Linked DNA regions of Xenopus tropicalis. The protein of the gene in region 6 interacts with the protein of the main gene of each other region in a biochemical or structural test. Links are inferred from orthologs where the notes say so. Each region holds a gene or a part of one and is shown on either strand. Other genes may lie near its edges.

Region 1 (3,980 bases), on a different chromosome or scaffold from region 6:
AGGACGATATTACAAATTTACTAGCAATGTAGTTGACAATAAATTTGTAATCCCTATGTGCCTGCCCCCCACCTGCCCGTCCCCTCACTTCCCTCTGTATGCCCCAAACCTGCCTACTCACTGTATTCGGAGCAGCTGCATCATCCTGCCCCTACAACGCCATCCCTGCCTCTTACATTATGGGCCAGAAGTAAAGGTGGCAACCTTACTCTCAAGAGTGTTAGCTCAATAAAGGCAACAATTATTTGTAAACAAAATTGAGATAAATTCCCTCAAATGGCTTTCTATGGGCCTGCAACTAAAAAGAAGCCATTATGAGACCTGAAGATGTGAAGGTATACCTCTCCACTTCAGAAAGTACCTTGGTGAGGTAGTGTGCTAAGACACCTTTTGCAACTATGCAAGTATGACTGTGAACACATAACATATGGAGAAAAGAAGACAAAGGGGCACATTTACTAACCCACGAATTGTCGCGACTTTTTCGTTACCAATACGATTTGCGCAAAAAACGTGAGTTTTTCGTAGCCATTACGATTCGCTCGTATCTTGTCGCGACTTTTTCGTATTGAGCGCTCGTAAGCGGTGGGCGAAACTTTCAGACTTAGCATGATTTTGGAAGCCTCCCATAGGACTCAATGGCACCCTGCAGCTCCAACCTGGCCCAAGAAAAGTCCAGATACTGAAGCTTGAATGAATCCGAATCTTTCGTACTCGGCGCGAAGGCTATGAAAAAGTCGCGACTTTTCGCGCAAGTAGTAACGCTACGAAAAAATCGGCGCAAAATTCGGAATGGCAACGAAAAAGTTGCAACAATTTTCCGAAAAATCGCCAAATACCGATCATTACGAAAAAAACGCAATCGGACACATTCGGCCTGTTCGTGAGTAAGTAAATGTGCCCCAAAGACTACTGGCACTAGTAAACATTACAAGACAACATTGTAACATGTAAACATTACATTACATTAAACATTACAAACATTATAAGGTTACTTCCATCAATAATATGTTAATACTAATAAAGGCGAATCATGATTTGTCCCCTTTTTAAGGGTAGCAGTCCTTTCCACAGGCAGATATTTATTGAGAAGCCTTTTATGCTCCTTTAAGCCTTAACACACTTGGTGACTAATTTCACTAAATGACACAGGACCTGGGCTCTTAACGTCGCCATGATGTTTGGGGCGTTGCTGGAATCAGCCGAAGTGGGCGCTGTAGATTTTCGTCATGGGACCCAGGAGGCGCACTGCCTAATTTCTCTAGCTTCTCGATGATTAAGATGGCGGCGGCCTGGGCTGCGGCTGAGGCGCGGAGCCAGAGCTTGTGACTGTGGGATTGCTAAGCCGCAGCCCGGCTGTGACTCGGAACTGTATTATCTTGGGCGAGTCGGAAAGGAGGAAATATTTTCTGGCTTGGGGGAACCGGACGTAAACCTGTTAGCAACGAGAGGGATGTGACCGGCCTGCCTTGGGCCATCCCGGTGGGGGCGGCTGCAGTGGTGGGGAGGCAGCTTACTAAAGGCCGGGGATGGGCCAGCAGGTAGGCCGCGTCGGAGGTGAAGCACCTAGTGCTCAACAGCCGCACAGAGGAGCCAGAGGCAGCGGAACCAAGCCAAGCGCACATGTGGGAAACATAGCAGCAACCAGCAGCCGGAGAAGGGAAGCGACAGGCAGAACCAACCCAGAGACTGGATTTAACATTTTTACACAGCACGGTATGTTGTGTCTTCTGGGCGGGGGATGTCAAGCCTGCACCTCTCATGCGCTTTGTAAACAACACATTTATCATACGGGGATGCTGGGAGTTGTAGTCCATTCGCATCTTCAGCCCACAACATAGACACAGCTAGTATAGGACATCCATAGCAGTTCATATCTCTCTTACCAATAAGCCAACCAAGTCAGCTAGAGGGAAATACTAATTGTGGCAGTCCATTGACTTTTTAGCAATAGTATTGATAGGTTTATAAGGTATTACACCTATATATTGATTAAGAATTCTGACAGAGCTTCATATCACACATTGGAGGCACCCAACATATATTGGGGTCACATTTTAATTAGTACCTGTCTTATTTGCATCCATAAATCCCAATTCACACAAGATGCAGTTAGAATAGAATATATCTTTATTGTCATTGTCTTTATTGTCATTGTCTCATTCTCCACTTCAGAAAGTACTCTGGTGTACTAATCTGCGTCTGAAAGTGGTCATACATGCCACAATCCTGACCTTTCTCACAACCATTGTTCATTCACTCTACTAATTTTAAGAGCTGAATGGTCACATATGCAAGTAAAAATAAAGGCATTTTTACCCCTATCTTACCATTCAGCATTAATATGCGGGCACCTTTAGATGTACCCGATCAAAATTTGCAGACCTGCCCGATTGATAAAACAACCAGTATTGTTTCCTATGACAATATCAGTGCGTGTATGGCCACCTTAAGCTGCTGCCTCAGTCCCTCCGCACAAGATCTGCAGCCTCCTGACAGCCTGCGCAATTATTATCGTGGATGTTTGAAAATCTTGTTAGACAAGGACCAAGTGTAGATGTGGTGCATGGTCAACTTAAATCAGTGGTTATTTGTTTACCTGTAGTGGTCTGATTTAGATATTATGTTAAAGTTATGATGTATACTTTAGAGAGGCCTTAGGGCTCTGGCACATGGGGAGATTAGTCGCCTGCAAAATCCAGTGGAAGGACACATCCACCTCATGGGCCTTTAGTTGGACAGCCCTAAGCTTAGTGATCCTTTGTACTTGAGAAAAGGTGCATGGAACTGGCAGCAGGCCCTATGTTAATAACGGAGGATGTAAATGTTATTTATAGCAGTGATAAAGATGCAGACATTTCAAGAAAAGTTCTAATGCCAAAGGCGATTATAAAGTTAAAGCCTTTTATAAATGGTCTCAGGGAATGGGCCAGTGTAAGGCAAATCTTGGGTTCTAGTTTCAAATAGAGAAGATCTAAGCATGTTTTTGGACAGATTGGAGTTCTAATGGCACCTTTAAATTTCTTTTATATAAATGTGTCCTTAGTACTCTAAACCTATTAATTTTTCCTATTCCTTACCGGAACTGGACCCTGACATTGTACCTTGTTTCTCGTACCCCTTCTTTTAAATTGTAAGCTGTTTTGAGCAGGGCCCTTTTGTATTGGATACCTTGCAGATTGTAAGCTCTTTTGGGCAAGTCCCTCTTCGCCTTTTGTATCGGTTGCTTTATATGTTACTCTGTATGTCCAGTGTATGAAACCCACTTATTGTACAGCGCTGCGGGATATGTTGGCACTTTATAAATAAATGTTAATACAGGTATGGGATCCGTTATCCAGAAACCTGATATCCAGAAAGCTCCGAATTACGGAAAGCCCGTCTTCCATTGACTCCATTTTAATCAAATAATTCAAATTTTTAAAATTGATTTCCTTTTTCTCTGTAAAAATAAAACAGTACCTTGTACTTTGATCCCAACTAAGATATAATTAATCCTTATTGGGGGCAAAACAATCCTATTGGGTTTAATTAATGTTATTGATTTTTTAGTAGACTTAAGGTATGAAGATCCAAATTACGGAAAGACCCCTTATCCAGAATACCCTTGGTCCCGCGCATTCTGGATAATGGGTCCTATACCTGTAACAATATCAGTCTTATCTTTGTATGTTCACTGTATACACCCATGTATTGTACAGTTCTTTGGAATATGGGGTTGCTTTATAAATCCATTCTCAGCATGTATCTGAGAAACCTAGTGATGATCAGTTTGGCCAGAAACCCGCGGGAGCTACTTTATACTCTGTTATTAAAACATATTTGAGGGCAAAGTTTTAAATGTGAAAAATGTTGAACCCTAATGCGTGTGCTAAGAAATAGTGTTGCTAAGCTCCAATGTACAATGAATGGCTTACAACCCCTTTTCTAAAAAAGTTTGGACAATATGTAAAATGTAAATAAAGAGAGACTGGGATGAT
Region 2 (3,500 bases), on a different chromosome or scaffold from region 6:
CATGAAAATGTATTGTTGTGGTAGGGTCTGAACCCAGCTTCAGATGAGGGACCCAACCCAACTACAGATGAAACAACTGACCTATCCTGGATATGTGTTCTTGTGATTGGGTCTGAACCCAACTACAGATGAAACAACTGACCTATCCTGGATATGTGTTCTTGTGGTTGGGTCTGAATCCAACTACAGATAAAACACATGACCCACCCTGGTGTCATCATGAATATTTATTGTTGTGGTAGGGTCTGAACCCAGCTTCAGATGAGGGACCCAACCCAACTACAGATGAAACACCAGACCCATCTTGGATATGTGTGTTGTTGTGTATATGTGGTAGGGTCCTGAATCCAGCTACAAATGAGACCCAACCCATCCTGCTCTCAATATACATAGGTGTTTTGTGTTCTTGTTGTAGGGTCAGAACCCAACTACAGACCCATCTTGTCGTCTTAATTTTGAGTGAACCAAGGTTACATACCGGATGCATCCTTATACTCATGGTATTCCATAGTACCACCCCCCACGCTGTCACTATTCCCACCAATATTAAAGTCATGTAGGGCTTAGTGATACCTTGTAGCCTACCTTCTTCTCAATTCATCTTATCCCTCTTGTTGAAGCTTGCCATCTGTTTAGTAGGTGAAACGTTTGATATGTTTCATCTGTAAAATCAACCGATACATGATTCTTGTTCCAATTTTATTTCTAGACCTTAAGCCGCTTGGAGGAACAGGAGAAAGAAGTCGTTAATGCCTTGCGTTACTTTAAGACAATTGTTGACAAGATGGCGGTGGACAAGATGGTGCTGGTGATGCTGCCAGGGTCGGCGAGCAAAGTGTTGGAAGCCATTTTGCCATTGGTGCAAGTGGATACTCGGTGTCAAGAAAGGTTGGTGACCCCCCATCACTTTTTGCCTGGGAGAACTGAATTCAAATCCTTCATGTGTAAATTCTAAAATGCTATCTCCTGTAAATTCCATTATAAGCAAATAATTGTAATTTTTAAAAGTTCCTTGTACTTGATCCCATCTGGGGGCAGAAATGGTTAAATGATTCCCTTTTCTCTGTAATAATAAAACAGTACCTGTACTTGATCCCAACTAAGATATAATTACCCCTTATTGGGGGCAGAACAGCCCTATTGGGTTTATTTAATGGTTAAATGATTCCCTTTTCTCTGTAATAATAAAACAGTACCTGTACTTGATCCCAACTAAGATATAATTACCCCTTATTGGGGGCAGAACAGCCCTATTGGGTTTATTTAATGGTTAAATGATTCCCTTTTCTCTGTAATAATAAAACAGTACCTGTACTTGATCCCAACTAAGATATAATTACCCCTTATTGGGGGCAGAACAGCCCTATTGGGTTTATTTAATGGTTAAATGATTCCCTTTTCTCTGTAATAATAAAACAGTACCTGTACTTGATCCCAACTAAGATATAATTACCCCTTATTGGGGGGCAGAACAGCCCTATTGGGTTTATTTCATGGTTAAATGATTCCCTTTTCTCTGTAATAATAAAACAGTACCTGTACTTGATCCCAACTAAGATATAATTACCCCTTATTGGGGGCAGAACAGCCCTATTGGGTTTATTTCATGGTTAAATGATTCCCTTTTCTCTGTAATAATAAAACAGTACCTGTACTTGATCCCAACTAAGATATAATTACCCCTTATTGGGTTTAATTAACATTGAAATGATTTTTTAGTAGACTGAAGGTATGGAGATCCAAATTATGGGAAGATCTATGTATCTATGTAATTACACCACAGTCTATTATTAGGAAATAATCCAGGTAGGTTATGTAGTCAAATGCTGTTAAACCACAGGAGATCTGTCCCATCCCATCATTATTTGTAACTGTCTTACATCACATTGCTTTGGGCATAGATAGCAATGTTCAGTGTGACCCTGAGGGTTTTGCCCAAGTGTCTTGTTTTTAGAGCTGTAAGTAATATTGAAGAATCTCATATCCACATATTGGGAAAATATGTATTATTAAAGGAAAAATATCCCTCCCCCCCCCCCCCTTTGTAATAGTCTGCCCCTGACTAATAGGAGCCTTTTTCCCCGCCCCCTTAGCCTGCTACAGTCACTTTTGAAAGCACCAATGTAACATGGAAGGAGGAGTTGCATAGTTTGCCTCTGACTCATAGGAACCTTTTCTCCGCCCCCTTAGCCTGGTAGAGTCACTTAGAAACCATCACATGGATGAAGGAGAAGGAGCGGTTGCATGACTCTGCCAGCCTAAGGGGAGTGGCAAAATGGTTCCTACAAGTCAGGTCAAGAGAGTTTAATGTTGAAGTAATAGATTATAATAAGAAATACACCCCCACCTTAGGCTGGCAGAGTAGTTTAACCCCTTCTTCACCTTTTTCCATGTTACAGAAAGAGATTCTTAGACTTAAAGTCCGACTTGTTGTCTTTCCATAGACTCTTTCCCCCACCTTGGAAAGCAGACATCCTTCTGTAACATGGTAAAAAGTGAAGGAGGAGGGGTTGAATGATTCTGCTAGCCTAAGGAGGGGTGGGGGGAATGAGTCCTTATTAATCGGCAGCGGAATACTACGTCAAAAAGGGGGGGATGATATATTTTGAATAAATCACGCTTATCATTCTATCTCTCCTTTATACCCAGCACCGCCATCTCTTCCTGCTACAGCCGCGTGTACCAATCCCTCGCCAATCTGATTCGCTGGTCTGACCAGGTCATGCTGGAAGGCGTCAACTCGGAGGACAAGGAGATGGTCACCACCGTCAAAGACGTGATAAAGGCCGTCCTGGATGGCGTGAAGGTTCGTATCCCTGCTGTGCGACTCCCACTGAGACCGCTGCTCGTTTGTGTTTCCAGCACATTTCCTAATGAGCTCCGGTGCCAAGCCCATAAATCCATTGTTCTTACTTCATGGATTAGCAGCCCTCCCACTGAATAGCGTCAACATTTGGCGCCCAGCGGCGTTTAGGGAAATGATATATAAATAGCCAGTAAAAAGTGTTTTTTAACATTCATAACTACAGATATAACTGTTTATTAGTTAAAGGGGATCTCCACCCAACAACATCCTGATTCAGTGTGTAAAATATAAGCATGTTATTTAGGCCTGTTTTATTTGAAAATGGATTAATATATCCTAAAATACAATAACAGTGTGTGTATTCCACACTTCCTATTCTTCATAAGTTCCATGGAAAGAAAATATTGTCTGAATCTGTTTAGCAAGAGAGCAAAAGTGGGTTAGGGCAATGTCAACACTTGGCACTTTAATGTTTCTATGGCTGCTGTACATGCTCTATCCATAGAAAGAAATGTCCCATTCATGGCTGGGAACCCTAAACTCCATTTACCAATTGCACTAGTCTCTATAATCATCTCCTCCATGGAACAGATATGGCCAACTTTTGGCATTCCTGCATGAAGTTGCTGAACTACAACTCCAAGGGTCCTACCTCACAGTGGGAATTTTGGGAGCACATTTTAAGGTGGCCATA
Region 3 (3,500 bases), on a different chromosome or scaffold from region 6:
TGTGAATGTCAGTGTGGGCAGCGGGATGTTTATATATATATATATATATACAGTATATATATATATATATATATATATATATATATATACATGTATATATATACATGTGCATAAGTATATTGGTCAAATGTTTCTGCAATCTGCGGTGCAAAATTATATATTTCTATTGCATTTATCATATGTGAAGATATCTGTATTGCAAAAGCCATGGGACATCTATGTGCAGTACATTTAGCATTGACTGTGCATTCATATGCTGACAGGTTAACATCATACCTCATGTCTCCTACCTTGACTGACTGTTGTTCAGTGTCGGACTGGCCCACCAGGATACCAGGAAAACTCCCGGTGGGCCCAGGTGTCAGTGGGCCCTCCTGCTCCTGACCATTTGGCCTGTTTTATGGTCATTCCCTATTTCGGAATGGGAAGAAAGAGGAGAAATAGATGGAAGAATAGATGCTAGCATGTAAATAAAATACTAGGAGAGGTTGGGTGAGGAAAGGAGGAAAAATAATTAGGAAAGTGGGCCTATAATCTAAGGTTTCCTGGTGGGCCCCTGGGTTCCCAGTCCGACACTGCTGTTGTTTTTATAAATATATTCAGTACAGATCTTTTGAACCCCAATATTACTTTCCAATTAAAATGAGTAGAAAAGGTAAATCATTATGGTCTTACTGTTTTAACTTTCAGGTCAGCATCCTTCCACAATTTTGTAAAAGCTGCATTAACGAAAAGTCCAAAAAAGAGACCAAGTGCTTCAAAACTGCTATCTGTAAGTCATGGGGAGGGGCAGCTGGATGGGAAGGGTAGTGGGACTAAGCCAGAGTAGTTTCAATGGAAGTGTCTGTATGACCTGATATTACTTTCATCTTTACTTATTAGCATCAGTTTGTGGCTCAACCAACACTCAATGCTTCCCTCACTCAAGACTTACTGGAAAAACTGAGAAATCCAGAAAAACACAAAGATATTCCTAACCCAGATGAAGAAGAAGAGGCAGAGGTAAGACACTGTGAAAGAAAGCAGCAGAAAAGGCACAAAAAAGAATGTATTTAAAGGGACACCAATAAAATCCTTATTATATTTTTTTTTAAACACTCACAGTTATCTTGCACTTGAAAGAACCATATATCTTCTTTGGATGTTCTAATACCATTTATATAAATATGTTTTATAGCAAACAAAATAGTCCCATATGTCTCTCTACAGACAGTATGAAAACCTCTTAGAGCATATAGGACCCAGAAATATGTTATTTGCAGAAGCTGGAAAATATAAGCAATTAATTTGTAAAGTATTTAATACTTTTGATGTTACTGACCAGTTAACAGATATCTCATAACAGAACGTAGAATAAGAATTAAAGGCAATATTATAAAAGGAGAATTCTTAGTGGTTCTGGTGAAGGAAAAAAAAATTGAATTCAGTGTAGACATCGTGACTATCCAAAACAGGAGATACTGGGAAAGCTAACAAGGTTCACATACCATATGGTTCAATGCCATAATTACAGTCATCGTAGTGCCTGCTGTTAATATATTGTTCAGATAAGGCTGATGCCACACGTGGCGTTTTTACGCAGCGTTTTTTCTCAGCCTAAAAACGCTGCACAAGCCACACATGGCGTTTTTCAGCCTAGAACTGGTGACGTAAGCAAATCCCGTTGCCATGGTGCTAATAGTGCGAAATAGCAAAAAACGCCGCGTATTTCCGCTAGGTCTGGCAGCTGCCTTTGCGTATCCATAGGAATAGCTTGCTTTGCAAGTACTGGCGTATTTCAGCCAACGCTTGAAAAATCCGTGCTTAGGCGTTTTCTAGCGTATTTCCGCTTTGTGTGGTTTGCTGCGCGTCTTTTCAAGCTATTTCTATGGATGATGATATCAGGCGTTTTTCAGCCGCCGAGAGAATTAGAAAATACGCAGCGTAAAAACGCCACGTGTGGCATGAGCCTTAAGGGAACTCCACCCAAACACAACTTAAGCTTTTTAAAAAGTAAACATATTTTCAAGCAACTTTGCTTTAAACGTCAATTAAAAAATATGCAGCCTTTTCATGATTTTTAATGTAATAATATGGTTTGGGACAGTTACTGAAGCCTGGCCCCTGTTCTCCTGCTGATCTGGCTGACTATTTTGAGACTTTAAAAAAAATGTAACAGTACTGCCTTTAGCCTGTATGCTCTACATTATGTCAATAAGGAAAGGAACATCACAATGCAATGCATTGTGGGTTATGTAGTATTATATAGTCCTGCATGCTGTCTGTAAGCTGTGGAGAAGTTGCTACAATTTGTAACGTCAGTGTTTTAGTCTCTCCTTCCTAGCCAGGATTTCAAATGATGCAGAAAGAGAAGAACTGTTTTGCAGCTGGATTTCAGCAGATAAAAATTGTATTTATTCATACTTTTTGAAGAAATAAATTACAGTAATACATTTATTAAGGGTTTCTGTGTTTTGTGGAGCATATGTTGGTTCGGAAGCTGGAGTTTCTCTTTAAAGGTGATAACTGCTTTTTTTACTTTGGTGCAAAGGCTTAATCTCAGCTGATGCATACTGAGACATGATCACCATGACTTTTAGAATGGTAATAGATACTGCAGTTTCCATCTCAGAGTGCAAACATCATATATTAACAGGCATTGCCCACTTTCTCGCGCATCCTTTCGAAAAATCGCCACCCTAAAGCCACCCGATCCTCTTCAGACATTCAGTGTAAGTATTGGTGTTACTGACTTCTGTATAGAGATTGTGGACTATCTTGGGATTTATTTTATAAGTTAATAATACATATAATTCCTATTCTCCACAGTGCACCAGATCAATTTAAAGCAGATGGCAATAAGTAGCGAAGGAGATCCTGCATTAATATTGGTAATGAGCAATGCAACTTTTTATGATATGTGCAATTCATCTATCCATGGGGATATATCATATTAATATTTCAGTAAGCCTCAGTTGCTCTTAGGAATAAAATAAACATGATTGTTCTACAGTTTACACACTGTGTGACTGGCAAAAACAGGAGAGGAACCTTAAGCATATAGGGGTGCAAAACTCCAAAAAGCACTTGCATCGGGCACATGCATGCACTTTGCATCTCACGCTGGATTAAAAATCCCTCCAGAGGTGCAGCTGCAGCGCATGGCAATCCAGTTTTTAGGATTCCTTTTAACACTGCACCCACAGCCACTCTATAACATCCAAACATGTAAATTATGTAGTGTACAAGTTAGGGGGCGGTAGACCCTCCATTCAGCAGTGTTGTATTCAGTAGGTGAGTTCAGGCCCTTGTGCTTCATTCTGTCCTTATCCTTGTACACCTATAGGCAGGGTGTTAGGCTGATGCCAGACGTGCCAGAATACGCTCGGGTGCAGGCACATGTAGCCGATATACGCATGAAAACGCGAGACTTTGCATTCTCACGCGTTTTCATGCGTATATCGGCTACATGTGCCTGCACCCGAGCGTATCTCATTCAATCTGAAAGCATTTTTCCGCTT
Region 4 (3,500 bases), on a different chromosome or scaffold from region 6:
CTGTTATCTGCTATGTAACCTGTGCCTTTTCTCCTTTTTTCCAGCTTGAATGGCTGCCCCCATGGCTTCACAGCAGCTCATTTATATAAACTATAGTACTGTTACTTTAGCAAATACACAACTTTACCTGTGCAGGGTAACAGTACATTATATTTAAAATACTTTAATACACTTTAATTTTTTGGCGTTACTGTTCCTTTAAAGTCAACGAGAGATAGCATGGGCAGTTTTCAGTATAACTCTGCATGTAAAACCTCCATGTAAAGGGGGCCATACAGCTAAAGATCCATCCGGATTATAATTGCCACCACTGATGGAATTGTAATTACAGCCATCAGGGAAAGGACCAAATCAATATGCTTATGTGGCCCCCACCCTGACGGGAAGATCAAACCTTCCTGATGGATATCGGCCCGATTTGTGGCCAGATATCTTTTGGGAAGGCCTGTTGGCTGGCCCCATATACCAACTCTTAACCAATCATTTTCATGCATTGTATCAGTTAGTTGACATATTGCATGTTAATGTCCTGCATAATATAAAAATAATGATGTTGTACACAGCAGTCTGAAGAAGGGGCATATACAATAACTTGAAAGCCACATCTTGGGGGACTATAGCTGGGCAGCCTTCCTGTAGACTAGATTTTCAAGATTTCTTCTATTTGTTTGTCTTGTATATCATACAACCTGTTCACACCAGTGACTACAGTGAACAGGTTGTATGATATACAAGTACAGTGATGTGCATCCCTATAATGTAGACTGCATGGTTTTTTTTTTGGTTGTTTTTAAGACATCTTGGTTTCAAACCTTATAATTAGGGTACAGATGCCCTAAAGTCCCAAAATGTGTTTACACTGTGTAACTGAAATTGACTTTGTCCCCCAAAACCAGTCCCAGTTTGGCAAAGTATCTATCAGGCACTAATTATCTATACATGTGTAGGATCTGTTATCCAGAAATGTAGTCTATGGGGGATGGGAAGGACAAATAAGCAAATAATTATTATTTAAAAAATATTTTTAGGATGTAATACATTTTTATTGGACTAAAGACATGGGCATCCAAATTACCGAAAGATCCCTTATCCAGAAAACCCTAGGTCTTGAGCATTCTGGATAACAGGTTCCATACCTGTACTATAACTATAAGTAACACACAGTTGTGCACAACTCGGATAAAACCATTGCAGCATTTTTCTTCAAGCGCTTTTGTTATTTCCCAAACCCAGATAAGCCCTTTAAGGCCTCAGCGACCAAAAAGCCAAGTTCTCAACCTCGTTACTGGTGAAAGGCGGATTTCTGTATCTCCAGGCCCAGCTACCCCACAACAAACCCAGCCACCACCCATTACTCCAAGAGTTAGGGCTCTGTTCAGTCTTCCATCAGGTAAGGATATTCTTTATATTTCCAAATCCAATCTGCTGTATTCAGTTACGTGTTAAGGCCAGAGAATAAGAGAAGCAACACTTTAGAAAATCACTGTTAAATGTTGCTGTCCCTGGGGGAAACACTGAGCCCTCATACTGCCATGATGGCCATAGGTCAGTACCAAACATTTTTTAAAAATGGCTTACTTTCATGAGTGCTTTGGACTTATTCTATGATTTCTGTCTGATCTTATGTTTATCTTATGTTAGAAAATGCTTGATCTTCAGTACGGTGGAGTGGGGCTAGTGTAACGGGATTGTTGTGTGCTAGTTTTTGGTATTACCAAAGAATGCTTTCAAGTGAGGGATGGGGACCCCAAGGGAGGTTTAAGTTTGAAAAGTCCAAACAGCAAGAAAGTAAATTATCATTCATATAATCCATATACAGTTCTCCAAGTAATCTTACGCAGCCCAGTACATTGTATTTCTCAGGCATTGTCTGCATCCCTAACATGTAAATGTTACTATTTAATAATGACCGCATAGGGAGGTAGGGTGCTGAGTGCAGAGTTAATATATATTGATATCCAGGCATATACTCATATGAGCCATGTAAAAAGCCCATCTGCATGGGATGTGGTCATTGTTAGAATCCACAGGTATTGCTACGGTTTGATCAAACTACTGTATTTAATGGTTCTTTTAAATCTTCACCATTGCAAGGGATGTCTCTATGTGTAATCTCAACAGCATGAATTTAAATGAGTTCTTTCATTTGACAAATTGGTTTAACTTTGATTTCTTTTTTACTTTTTTCAGGCGTGGAAATGAACGGTGAATCAGTGGCTACCCCCCCTCCACTTCCAGTCAAAGGGAGCACGGCAGATTACGGCAATGTCATGGATTTCACGGATTCCGTAACTCCTTCAACTCCTCCACCCCCTCCTCACAGGGTAAGGTTGCTACAGGCATCCCACTCTGGTGCTGATGTGCTTGCGTTAATATCTAATACTGTGTGCCCTCTGACTTTCATTTCCAACCCAGTAGTTAAATCAATAGAATTTGAATGAGAATGGCTTTATCTGCAGCGTTCTACTATAAAATATCCAAATTGTGATGGGTTTTGTTGAAGTGGTCCTTTAATCTCATGTGTATGTATGTCAAATACATTGCATGGACAAATCCATCCCACCTTTTCGCCTTGAGGTCTCTTTCCTCCAGATGCCTGACGCTGCCCCCATAAATACAGTGCCTGCCTTTACCAGCTGGTAGTGACTGGGCTGCACACACCCAAGCACAGTTAGATCTTGAGCACTATGGGACACGCTACTGCACCCCTTAGTGCATTGGTCTGGGGGTCTTCATAAGAGACCCTTTATATCTTCCTGTGCTTACAGACCTCTTAAGATGTTTTGTTAGGAAATGAAAGTTTGGAGAGGCCAGTGGTTGAAAGGGCAGCAAGACGAGTGAAGTGTGGGCTAGCAATCATGCAGTTCTGCCTAACCAATGTAAAACAGTTTTGTTTGGTGCAGTGACCCAGAGTGATTCCCGTAACCAATCAGAGGAAATAACCAATTTGTTTAGTTGGTTTGTGCCTATTTTTCCTCTTCAGTGTTGTCCTGTAAAGTCAAAGGGATTGGTACTTGCCAGTTTGTATTCAGTCCATCTTCCATACATTTGTATTCAGTAGCTTCCATACATTCTCCCTGTAGATTCCTATAGCAGTGGTATTTTTAAGGGTATTTTTGAACCATGCCTAGTATTTTTAATGTGATGCATTGCAGCACAGGGCATGACAATGGAGAGATTAAGGTTAAATTTGGAAGATTAATTTCAAATCTTTCAATAATCTTTTCAAATAATAATTTTCCAACCTTTCAGTAATTCCCTAAATGAATAACGTTTCCAGCCTATTGCAGCTTCACAGATGAGCAGTTACAGAGCTGTGTGCACCCTTCATGTTTAATCTAAATAAACTGTATACAAAGGGGCTGGATTTCAGTCAGATACCAAACAGGCCGAGCCTCACAGCAATGAAAGCCGACAGATTGCTGCTGTTATTACAGATGTGCCTGTTACATAAGATTCCCCTTTTCCCTGAGGTGCGCGAGAATCACTGAATTTGCACA
Region 5 (3,500 bases), about 92 Mb from region 6:
ATTCTAGAGATTTGTGGAGAAATATCACAGCTCTAGACCCCAAAAAACTAAGCGTCTTCAAGACAGTGAAGGAAATCACTGGTAAGACATCCGACAACTTTATAAAGGGAAGGAGTTGCTTCCAGTCTCGTGTGACTTATCAGGAAAGCAGAGATATTTTGCTGGTATAGACATTACACATTGTTACACACTGATCTTCTTACATGTCCATTCTGTTTCCTTCACACCAGGGTACCTGAACATTCAGTCTTGGCCAAAGAGCCTGACAGACTTCAGTGTGTTCTCCAGCCTCAGTACGATTGGTGGACGGACTCTCCATACGTAAGTGGTTTTATTGTGATGTCTATATATTTCTACATCCACACAGCTCAGCTAGCATGCATGGGTAGGTAGCAGTGCCTTTATGTAATACAACAGCAAACATGCATGCAGTAAATAAATACATTTTATTAAGATGGGATTGAAGTAATATGTACTTTCCTCGGGGTGCAGGGGGGGCAGATATATTTTTATCTTTTATACGTTTTCTGTATATGCACATTTAAATATACTTTTTTGAGTAAAATCCCAGTTACTGGTCTTTTTTGGATGGTGTGTGTGTATATATATATATATATATATATAGAAAGATGCTAGTAAGCAGCACACCATTAGTTAAAAGTTGATACCTGGGTGCCTGTGCGCAAAAACAATATACAGGCTCGGATGACGGCACACACAGGGTTTGCATATAGATGTCACTGGGTCAAATGAAAATTAATTGCATCAGAGGTTTATTAGTTCCAACGTTTCAGCTCCACACAGGAGCTTTCGTCCTGTGTGGAGCTGAAACGTTGGAACTAATAAACCTCTGATGCAATTAATTTTCATTTGACCCAGTGACATCTATATGCAAACCCTGTGTGTGCCGTCATCCGAGCCTGTATATATATATATATATATATATGTAAAACAGGTTCTTAAAAATGTAATTACTTTACAAACTACTGGAGTTGAGACCTTTTATGTTTCTATTTTAATGTTTAAAGGAGAAGGAAAGTCATTTTTGCATTTAACTGCCAATAGATCCACCACATTAGTGCCACCTAGAACTCTATATTTATTCTGCAGAAAGATTTATCATACCTGAGTAAAGAACCCTAGAAGCTTTCTCTGTTTGTTAAGATTGTTTTAGCTTGGTGTTCATAGCTCCCTGCTGTATAGCTCTAGCCGTTATAGCTCAGATTACACATTCCTAAGGGTGGGGGGAGGGAGTTTTATGAAATTTTATGGGAGGGGGGAGCAGGAGAGGGCAAGAAGAGAGAACTGGGCAGACTTTGGCCTCAGGAATGAAGGATTTTTCTGAGAGAGGAAGTCTGATACGGAAGAACATGTTTACACAAAAGGAGACAAGAAATCCTGTGTTTCTTTTGATAGAGAACTCAGTGCAGCTTTTCTGTGAGTGCTTATGGCTGTATTTACATAGACCTTTCTGATAAAACTTACATTGTTTTTACCTTTCCTTCTCCTTTAAGTAGCAGTCACTGGGTATATGAGTGGGTTATGTCTCCAAAATAAAAGTGTATAGGAAAAAACACAAAAGGCTAACTTTTTGCTGACTACACCTTACGTTGACATAACTGTTTGTTCAGCCGAGGCTTCTCACTACTTGTGATGAAAAACAGCAACGTGACCTCATTGGGGTTCCGCTCACTGCAGGAAATCAGCGCGGGGAAAGTATATATTGCAGAGAACCAGAATCTCTGCTATTGTGACACTGTGAACTGGACATCTTTGTTCCCAACATACCCTCGCCAGAGCACTGAAATCAAGGGAAACAGAAAGAAGAATAAGTGTGGTAAATAAAACATTTACGTGCTATTCTGTGTCCCTTTTCGTGATTGGCACTAATGAATTGCTAAAAAGCCATGCTGCACATAGATTGAACATGTGACAGATATTAAAGGGGTGAGGTGGCAACAGGCAAAATCAAAACATATTAGTCTGATTTAACAGGAGTAGATGCAGTAATTAGGGTGAAAATGCATATTCATTGTTTACCCCTTCAGGTAAAGCAGTATATAAATTATTTTGACATGAGCACTGTGTATCGGCAGGGTAGCTCCCCTTTTCAGCCTGCTTGCCCCCCATTGTTCAGAGGGGGTGTGTTAACCCTGCCATAAGGAGTGCTGCTTCATAGCAAGCAGATACCCATTTATTCTTGACCTTCTAGAGTTGAGCAGCATAATGAAGACGAGACTTGTAAGGTTTTGCTATTTCAATGTAAAACTTCTGCACATTCAGTTTCTGTAGGCAATTCTGCTATAGGAAAAATCATATATTTTACAATAAAGTATGGCATAATAGCAACAGAATAACATCACTGATACCATTGATGCCATAACTGATATCATTTTGTTTACATTTATACAATGGTACTTGCATCAAAATTATGCAAAGTAGCTTTTAGCTTTGATAAGTAGCAACAAAAACTTGCTGTGGGTAAATTGCAGCTGCAGATTAGTGCAAGGGAATATGCACCAAAGGGCACCAATATTCCCAGATGAATGGATCAATGATTACTATATCCTGCAAGGAATTTAAAGCCATTCACTAATAACAGGTGTCTCCTCTACTCACTGGAATGAAACCTTGTCAACCATGTAAGGCAACTTCTGAGCCTCTAGTAAGGATGAGCTCTGAGATAGATGCCAGTAGGTCACTTATTTTTGAATAAACAAAAATTGCTTGTGTGGGAATAGGTAAAAAGATCAGTGTAAGAAAGGCTAAAGGCTGAGGATATTGCTCGCCTCGTTGATTGGCCAGGTTAAAAGACACAAAATGTACGTTTAGGGCTGAATCGGCAAGTGAAGGTAGAATTTGTATTGGTTCTACCTTTATATATGACAATTCAGCCCTGAACGTCAGTGGAGGGTGGGAACAATCTTTTATGAAAGATCGTTATTGCTACGTGTATGGCCACCTTAAGTTTGTCAGATGTTACCTTTAGTTTATTGTGTCCTTCCACCTGCCTTAAATCTCTCTGTATTTATTTTATTCAGTGGAGGAAGGGAAGGTATGTGACCCTCTCTGCTCTAACAATGGATGCTGGGGTTCTGGGCCAGACCAGTGTTTATCCTGCAGAAATTACAGCAGAAATGGAGTATGCCTGCAATCCTGTAACTTCACTGAAGGGTGAGTCGAGGGCCAGGGGTAGATAGCAGACATTTCCTTCTCAGAACACTTTTATGTTGCCGGTCTCATTTATATCACACTATTCCTAGTTTATACAATTTATTTAATAGTGTATTTACATGTATGGCGACATGAATGTGTAAGGAAAATTAAAAAAAAAACCCAGGAATTGGAAATGTATTCCCGACTATATAATATACCACAAGTCGTGCTCTGTCTCGCTGTAGAGTGTATAGAGATGTTTGTTCCATGTGGATCCTGTCACACAGATGTGAACTCCTGGTTCTGAGCCTGAAGCAATATAGCAACCTGATTATCAGACCGGC
Region 6 (4,160 bases):
TCTTATAGTGCAGTGTAGGGAGGGCCACCGGCTCCCCAGCTCATCCAGAGAATTCAGCCAGCAGGAAGTGGAACGGATGGGCGGGGCTAGTGGGGTTTTTGTGGAATTTCTCAATAGATCAGCAGGAAACACAACTTTTTAAAGCACAATCCTTCTATATCTAGAGGAGTATAATTCACTGGTACATTCATAATTTTTATAGGATCTGTCTCCTTTAACTTATTGCAACTGTACCTTGTATTTATGGTTATACTTTGTATTTATCTATTCTATTGTACAGCGCTGCATACATAAGTAGCGCTTTATAAATAAAGATATACATGCATACTTACAATATCCTTACATTTTACCATAGGGGGCAATATTTACTATTTAGTATTTACATAAGAGCCATGATTTTTTTTTTATAATTTGATATTATGATATTGTTGTATATTGTGTTGTGTATTATAAAAACCCCTGTTATAACATGATGAGGATGTAAGATGGAGTCCCTATATATTGGCCTGCTGCTTTCATAAGGTCATAAAACTTTTTGCTGACTTCTAACATCCTTTAATTTTAGCAGATGGTTCATTATTCCCTAAAATACATTTTATTACAATAAAGTTATAAAGAATCAGGGACAGATGAATAGTGGCTTTGGCTCTGGACATATTGCATTGTATGTATATTTTTATTTATAAAGCGCTACTTATGTACACAGCGCTGTACAGTAGAATACATTAATACAAACAGGGGATTATTAAGATAATAATAGATAAATACAAAGTATAACAATAAATACAGATAGATACAAGATAAATACAGTTGCAATAAGAGTCAAAGACACAAGAGGATGGAGGTCCCTGCCCCATAGAGCTTACAATCTATATTGCTCTTGGCCCTGATCCCCCACCAATTTGGAGTAATGGACCTTTGGACCTTGCCATTGCCTAGATAAAACCTGCGACTGTTCACAACAGGCATACATATATGTATTTTATTCCGTGCAAAGGTTTCCCCTACCACGTATCTAATATTCACTTCCAAGACTCAAATGAGACAGTGGTGCTCATTTACGCCAGTAGTAAAATGTTGGTGTTACCAATCACAGCAGTAGTTTAGTTTTGATTAGTCTACCCTAAGATAGAAACTGACAAATACGTGATTAAAACGGCTCATTTCACCCAGCGGCCTGATTACCGAATGGGAGCGCACTAGTTTTGGTCGGCAAGAAGCACAAACACGGCTTTTTAAAAGTCAGAATTCTAACTTGTCAAGAGAACCCGCCCCCTGCGCTCCATAGTCGCTGCTCCAATGACGCATTTCCGGAAGGTGAGGTCAGATCTTTCCTGTGCCGCCATTTCGGGATTGGTGAGGTCGGGATCGGTAGTTAGAAGACTGGTTGCCGCGTCTGGTTTGGGGGCGGCGTCTTTTGCCGCCTTAAGCCGGTGGTAGTATCGAGTACCGGGGCGCTAGGGAGAGGCCCATAGGGGGAGGAAAGCCATGGCGGGCAACTTCGACTCCGAGGACCGGGCGAGCTGGTACTGGGGCAAGCTGAACAGACAAGAGGCGGTCAATCTTCTGCAGGGCCAGCGGCACGGTGTGTTTTTAGTTCGAGACTCCACAACTATACCTGGTGACTACGTATTGTCTGTCTCTGAGAACTCCAAGGTTTCCCACTATATCATCAACAGCGTCAGCAACAACCGGCAGAGTGGGACTGGTGAGTAGGGGCTACATGCAGCGCATGTGAGGTGGGGGCGGCTGCACTAATACCGATAAATAGAATATATTTTGCATTGCATGTGTTAGTGAATTGTAGAGGCGCAGCTGCCAGGCACTTACAGCAGAAAGCCGAGGGCCTATTCCCTTTGCATTTATTTCTCTTATCCAAACTGCTCATAGTGACTAAACACTGGTGTGTGTATATATATATATAGATATAGATATATATAGATATACATTTATAATATAGAAAAATGAAATGCATGCAAAGGTTTTCCGGTATTGGGTGCACTGGGGGCATTAAACTCATTTGTAGGCATTTGAGCTTGTGAGCAATTAGTTTGAGAGCCACAGTCCATCCTTATTATATGCCATTTGTCACTGAGTCTTAGAATTAGAGCCATGTTATATCCCTGTTTAGTTGGGGCGCAGTGGTAGCCCAGTTTTTGGTTTTTAATTACACAGAACTTGTAACATTTTTGATAGTGACTGTCTATGGCAACTCACAGTAGCCCCTCTGGCATTTAACAGAATAGACCAGGGATCCCCAACCTTTTATCCCTGTGAGCCACATTCAAATGGAAAAAGTGTTGGTGAGCAACACAAGCATGAAAAAAGTTCCTGGGGGTGAAAATAAGAGCTATAATTGGCTATTTGGTAGCCCCTATGTGGAATGGCAGCCTACAGGAGGCTCTGTTTGGCATTACACTGGGTTTTTATGCAACCAAAACTTGCCTCATAACCAGAAATTAAAAAATAAGCACCTGCTTTGAGGCCACTGGGAGTTGGGGAGCAGCATGTAGCTCACGAACCACTGGTTGGGGATCACTGGAATAGACAGATTGCCAGTCCAGGCCTCATAGTCATCTGTGTTCCAGATTTACTGAATGGACAACTGCTCCCAGGTCATTATAGTGCAAACAAGGAGTTGGATTTAAAATTGTAAGTTTGTGAGCAGACTGGTTTTTTTTCATATTTCAATTATGTAGAGGCTTTCCGTGATTTCATAGGAAATAGTTGTGTTAGTGGTTTGCATACCTGACCTCAAAGTGTGTGTTCAACTTCCTTAAACAGGAACATCCAACAAAAGGTTTTTCTTTTGATTTGGTGAATGCATCCGTAAAAATCCCTTTTAGTGTTGATAGCAAATGAGAAACCACTGATTCATAGTCTAGGTTGCACTTTGAATGGCTTCCTTTGATTTTCTGAAAAATAAATAAAAATTGCACTGTGGCTCAATCTTTGTTTTTTCCAAAGACACTATTGCAACATACCCCAAGCAAAATCTCTGCGCCAAACGTAGGTAAAATTTGAATTTACAACAAACAAATCAGTCGGTTCCGCAAATCTTGTTTTTCATTTAACTTTGCTGCTTCATTCTGCCCCCCCCCCCCCCCCCCCATGGAATTAAAATGTGTTGAGGAATTCCCCAGTATTACAGTTCCTTATTTTATGGGACAATGCTTGTGGGAAACTATATTGTCACATCATCTTTACTCAACTTATTTGTTTATATAGGTCTTCCACTGTGCTTTTATGCACAATTATTAAGATCTAAGTCCAAGCACCAAAGAGTTTATTGTCCAGATTTGTGCTTTAAGAATTTGGGCACATTTTGTACCCTTATTCCTTTCAGGAACAAAACCCTCGTGCACGCTAAGCAGCTACTACTTTGGAACTGGGCACACACTTTATATGAGAAATGCCCGAACTACCATATAGGGAACAATCACTGGCATACCCATGCAATCCTGACCTGGCAGCGCCAGAGTCTACCATTGGTAGTACATTTCCCTTCAAACCTACAGGAAGCAGCTGCAGGCAGGGAAAGTCATTTAGTTGTGGACTGAAAGATAAGCGTTTATTTTCTTTATAGTGATACAATTAATATTGTGGGCCAGTTGCTGAAACTCGTAAAACAGTTTCTTCCAATCCCGTAACTTTAATAAGAAACGTTTAGTTAATTTGTAAAATCATGAATCATTTTGCTTATAAAAGTCCCCTTAGCACACAGTGGAAACAATTCATGCTTGTCCATGACACATGGATAATTTTCTTAGCAAGTGTGGCCCAATTTCAGAGTAGTGAAGGGCCATCTCTCTCTCTCTTTTTTTTTTTTTTTTTTTTTTTTTTTTTTTGTTAATTGTATGTGGAATAGGACATACTACATTCACACTGTCACCCAATGGTTTAAGTTGTGGGAATAAAGACCAGATTGTGCTCTTCACTTTTACATGTGTGTATTGTGTGTTCCAGTGCTACTTGTTTGCATGACACATCTGCAATGATTCTGAGTATACATTTTGAGTATAAATTACACTATATTTTTACTGGATTACCTGGAACCCATACAAAATACAGTACTTTTTCTTCATTTTTTTTATTTTTAATGTTTCTACCATATTTTAATTAGCATTCTTAAAATCCATGCAGTTTTTTTTTCTTGCCTG
Region 7 (3,500 bases), on a different chromosome or scaffold from region 6:
GAGCTACGAGGGTGTGAGCACAAGAGTAGATCCGTTTTTCTCTGTGTCTGTATAAAATGACGGCTGAGGAAAACAGCAAATCTGCTTAGTGTGCCCTTGCCTTTAGAAGAAATCCATGTTTTCCCATTTTTTTGGCATTGCAAAGTACTTATTTGAAAGTTGAGCTCTTTTCACTTAACTCAACACCACTTCCTTTATGAACAAAGCAATTAGTTCAGAGCTTCCTATGTCAGCCTGCAGATAAGTGCAGGCTGACATTACGCCCGTACACAAACTCATGCATCTATTGGCGTATATCGGCTGCATGTGCCTGCACCCAGGCGAATTCAGTGCATCCGGGTGCAGGCACAACGAGAAGATTTTGTAAGCGTATGAGCGTATTGTCAGCTTGAGCTTATCCGCAGGCTGACAATATGCCCTGTGTGCCTTTGCCCTATTTACCTTTTAACAAACATACAATCAGCAGCCTTTGAGCAGCTCATTAGGGGATTCTCAGTAGACTAGTAATTAGTTTTATTCGCTCCTTTGAATTTAAGTGGTATCAGGTAGGTACTTAAGTGAAACTGGCTTCATATTCTTGTTTAGTGTCAGAAATTACAGAAACCATAGATATTTCTTAGACAAAACAATAGCCAAAAAAAATGTAATCACAAGGCATATTTATTATGCTCATGTGTATACTGTCACTGTAAGGCAACAGTTTGTCCAAAGAAGGGATCTCAATGTCTTGAAAGCATGCAGTTCATTTTACCACGTCTGGAAATCTTAAACTTTTGTCTGCATCCACACATTTTTTTGGACAGTTTGTTGGACGAGTTTTTATAAAAACTTTTTCATTAAGGTCCATCATGAGTATGGTACCTTACCTTTATACAAACAAAGGATAATGCTTGATCCACCAAGTATCACTTTATTCATTTCTAAATTTTCCTTCCTTCATTCTTTGCTTTCTTTCATTTACTTCCTTTTTAATCCTTTCTTTTCTTCCTTTCATCCTTTTCTTTTTCTTCCTTCCTTCAGTCCTTTCTTTTCTTCATAAATAAATGGTGTTTTATAAACTTTTTTTGTTAGTTAATCCCCCTCTGTTTCTCTTAGGAAAAGACCGCCAACCAAAATGAAAAAATCTCCTGTTGGAAGCTGGCGTTCTTTTTTTAGCATAGGCAAATCATCATCTTCAGCCTCCATGTCTAAGCGGAAACTTCAGCGTAATCCAAGTGAGCCTTTGGAAATGAAATCCATGGCATTTGCAGGTATTTTGCAGCAGGATAGCAGAATTAAAGTTTACATCTAAGTGGCAGCATTTAGTTAGTTTCTGATTATTGGCACTGGTTTGATATCTATTGTTTTCTCCTCAGGTGGAAGAGATAGCAGCACCATGCGCTCAGCTAAAAGCGAGGAGTCTCTCAGTTCCTTGCATGCAGCAGATGGTATGTATTTATGGTGTTCTTCATTTTTTTTGTAAGAGAAGAAATTTATTGCACAGAACAAAAATAGTAAACTAGGCGTTTGCTTCAAGTCATCGTCCTAGCACCATTTTAAAAGACAATGATAAAATGCATGTGAAAATGTAATTTAACATCTAATGTGTTTGATTTGGGCTTCCCTTAATACTTGGTATTCTCTTGTATTCTCTTGTTTAGTCTAAAAGCTTAAGAAACCATTTAAATTAGATGCAGTAATTATTTAACAAAATATACATGATACATATAAATAACACCCAAATAAATGGAGAAATGTGCAATCTGACAAATTGCACAGAACCTATTGTTATTAATTTAAAAGGTTGACGTATTTGTTGCTTCTCCTTCTCAGTTACCTCTGTAGGTACTTAGAAGTATCTTTCTAACTATAGAATTCATCATGCTTGGCTGGCAAGTGTTGGTGCGTGAGGTCACACACCTTGTGACGATGATCCCAGAGGTGTGTTACTCCCACGCTTATCAGCCAAGTGAGACTGATTCTGAAACTTACATAATTTTGACAAGGCACCACTGTTCTGTAATGTGAATCCAAGCAAGGAAATAAGATCTCCAGTATTGCTGGAAGTGTACATTTTTTGTGTAGTCACAGAACATATGAATATACACATGCCCTGTATACCTCATATGTTTATTTACGAGGCTTATGTGTCAACAGTGAAAGGTTGTACTTACACAATTCGATGAAAAAAGACATGAGAATAAGATTAATTAAGATTTTTTTTTTTTGATTGCACAACTATGATCTTCAGTCTTTGATAAATCAGTCCCTCAGTGTTTTTGTATTGCATATACAATATGCAATATGCATCTTATTTTCTGCTCATTCACTGCACATGTTCTGTGTTGCTGTCAGTTAATGAGCTTAGGGACCAACTCACAATATACTGTATATATAGAATGTAAATGTTTTCCCCCCACCAGAGCTGTTGGTTTTCACAGCCCACTTTCCATTTGAGAGAAATAGTGCTGTCATGGACAGCAGCACAACCAGTCAGGCTTATGACTGAAGCCTCCTTTAGTCTTGACGCCCTGTTGTGCACACCCATAATGGGGTGTTTGCACAGTATTGTTTACCTCCATCTGAGTACAGGCTGTGTCAGTTTGCAGCTTTAGTAGGCTAAACATGTAAGGAAAGGTGACCTTTAAAGGAGAAGGAAAGCCTAAGTCACTTGGGGGTGCCAAAATGTTAGGCACCCCCAAGTGACTTAAATCGCTTACCCTGTAGGAGTGCTTCCTTCTTCTGCGTTGGCGCACTGCGCATTAGAGTGAAAAGCCGAAATTTTACAACAAAGTCGGCTTTTCACTCTAATGCGCATGTGCTGGCCCAGGGATTTTGCCGGCAGAAGAAAGAGGAAGAAGGAAGCCCTCGCTCAAGGTACCCCTGGCTGGTGCGGTTTTCACCCCCAAGTGACTTAGCCTTTCCTTCTCCTTAAATATACAGCAGGAAGCATTGCATTTTTATTATATTTTTAATTTTTTTAACAGATTCAAAATATGCTGTAAAATGACAATATAATATATTTCCCCCACATGTTACTAATGTTTGATCAACAAAGCAGCATATGCATTTTTTATATTAAACTAGAAAAATTTCAGGTAACGCAAAAATATATATATAGTTTCTTTGTAGATATACATCGGTTTATGTAGATGGTTACAGTTCTTTAAATAAGCATTATATATGTTAATTCACACTAACATTTTTCAACTACCAGGAGAGTCGAAGCTATTTCGTCCACGTCGTCCTCGTTCCAGCAGCGATGCTCTGTCTGCTTCATATAATGGGGACCTTCTGGATAGCTGCAACCGTTGCAACTCCTATGATAATCTGCCCCGAGACCAAGACAGTGATGGAGATGAGGGTTTGATTCATGTGCCTGCTATGCTGTCAGGTCGCTCTCCTGAGGATGAAGAACTCAGCCCACCAGACATTGGTATGGCCAGTTTGGACTTTGACCCAATGTCTTTTCAGTGCAGCCCTCCCCAGCTAGAATCTGAAGGACCAGACATTTTTTTTCA

The links.
Region 1: of the proteins of crk (region 6) and abl2, one has a biochemical effect on the other in vitro, tested with the Homo sapiens proteins (2 studies listed by BioGRID and IntAct, with this or other methods). The link is inferred for Xenopus tropicalis from reciprocal best matches to the Homo sapiens genes CRK and ABL2.
Region 2: the proteins of crk (region 6) and rapgef1 form a complex in vitro, tested with the Homo sapiens proteins (4 studies listed by BioGRID, with this or other methods). The link is inferred for Xenopus tropicalis from reciprocal best matches to the Homo sapiens genes CRK and RAPGEF1.
Region 3: the proteins of crk (region 6) and map4k1 form a complex in vitro, tested with the Homo sapiens proteins (2 studies listed by BioGRID). The link is inferred for Xenopus tropicalis from reciprocal best matches to the Homo sapiens genes CRK and MAP4K1.
Region 4: the proteins of crk (region 6) and dock1 form a complex in vitro, tested with the Homo sapiens proteins (3 studies listed by BioGRID and IntAct, with this or other methods). The link is inferred for Xenopus tropicalis from reciprocal best matches to the Homo sapiens genes CRK and DOCK1.
Region 5: the proteins of crk (region 6) and erbb3 form a complex in vitro, tested with the Homo sapiens proteins (2 studies listed by BioGRID and IntAct, with this or other methods). The link is inferred for Xenopus tropicalis from reciprocal best matches to the Homo sapiens genes CRK and ERBB3.
Region 7: the proteins of crk (region 6) and arhgap32 form a complex in vitro, tested with the Homo sapiens proteins (2 studies listed by BioGRID and IntAct, with this or other methods). The link is inferred for Xenopus tropicalis from reciprocal best matches to the Homo sapiens genes CRK and ARHGAP32.

The regions. Positions count from the first base shown.
Region 1 is NC_030680.2:99,888,316-99,892,295, reverse strand, and holds the start of abl2 (tyrosine-protein kinase ABL2), read left to right. Parts: upstream 1-1,180; 5' UTR 1,181-1,529; coding exon 1,530-1,716; intron 1,717-3,980. UniProt on the Homo sapiens protein: Non-receptor tyrosine-protein kinase that plays an ABL1-overlapping role in key processes linked to cell growth and survival such as cytoskeleton remodeling in response to extracellular stimuli, cell motility and adhesion and receptor endocytosis.
Region 2 is NC_030684.2:12,193,211-12,196,710, forward strand, and holds part of rapgef1 (rap guanine nucleotide exchange factor 1), read left to right. Parts: intron 1-709; coding exon 710-888; intron 889-2,649; coding exon 2,650-2,806; intron 2,807-3,500. UniProt on the Homo sapiens protein: Guanine nucleotide-releasing protein that binds to SH3 domain of CRK and GRB2/ASH. Transduces signals from CRK to activate RAS. Involved in cell branching and adhesion mediated by BCAR1-CRK-RAPGEF1 signaling and activation of RAP1.
Region 3 is NC_030684.2:80,427,211-80,430,710, reverse strand, and holds part of map4k1 (mitogen-activated protein kinase kinase kinase kinase 1), read left to right. Parts: intron 1-690; coding exon 691-772; intron 773-882; coding exon 883-1,002; intron 1,003-2,635; coding exon 2,636-2,711; intron 2,712-2,808; coding exon 2,809-2,870; intron 2,871-3,500. UniProt on the Homo sapiens protein: Serine/threonine-protein kinase, which plays a role in the response to environmental stress. Appears to act upstream of the JUN N-terminal pathway.
Region 4 is NC_030683.2:24,114,550-24,118,049, reverse strand, and holds part of dock1 (dedicator of cytokinesis protein 1), read left to right. Parts: intron 1-1,233; coding exon 1,234-1,390; intron 1,391-2,190; coding exon 2,191-2,324; intron 2,325-3,500. UniProt on the Homo sapiens protein: Involved in cytoskeletal rearrangements required for phagocytosis of apoptotic cells and cell motility. Along with DOCK1, mediates CRK/CRKL regulation of epithelial and endothelial cell spreading and migration on type IV collagen.
Region 5 is NC_030678.2:137,690,874-137,694,373, reverse strand, and holds part of erbb3 (receptor tyrosine-protein kinase erbB-3), read left to right. Parts: intron 1-7; coding exon 8-81; intron 82-230; coding exon 231-321; intron 322-1,631; coding exon 1,632-1,837; intron 1,838-3,041; coding exon 3,042-3,174; intron 3,175-3,500. UniProt on the Homo sapiens protein: Tyrosine-protein kinase that plays an essential role as cell surface receptor for neuregulins.
Region 6 is NC_030678.2:46,102,802-46,106,961, reverse strand, and holds the start of crk (adapter molecule crk), read left to right. Parts: upstream 1-1,360; 5' UTR 1,361-1,488; coding exon 1,489-1,708; intron 1,709-4,160. UniProt on the Homo sapiens protein: Involved in cell branching and adhesion mediated by BCAR1-CRK-RAPGEF1 signaling and activation of RAP1.
Region 7 is NC_030683.2:72,445,810-72,449,309, reverse strand, and holds part of arhgap32 (rho GTPase-activating protein 32), read left to right. Parts: intron 1-1,095; coding exon 1,096-1,250; intron 1,251-1,355; coding exon 1,356-1,427; intron 1,428-3,196; coding exon 3,197-3,500. UniProt on the Homo sapiens protein: GTPase-activating protein (GAP) promoting GTP hydrolysis on RHOA, CDC42 and RAC1 small GTPases. May be involved in the differentiation of neuronal cells during the formation of neurite extensions.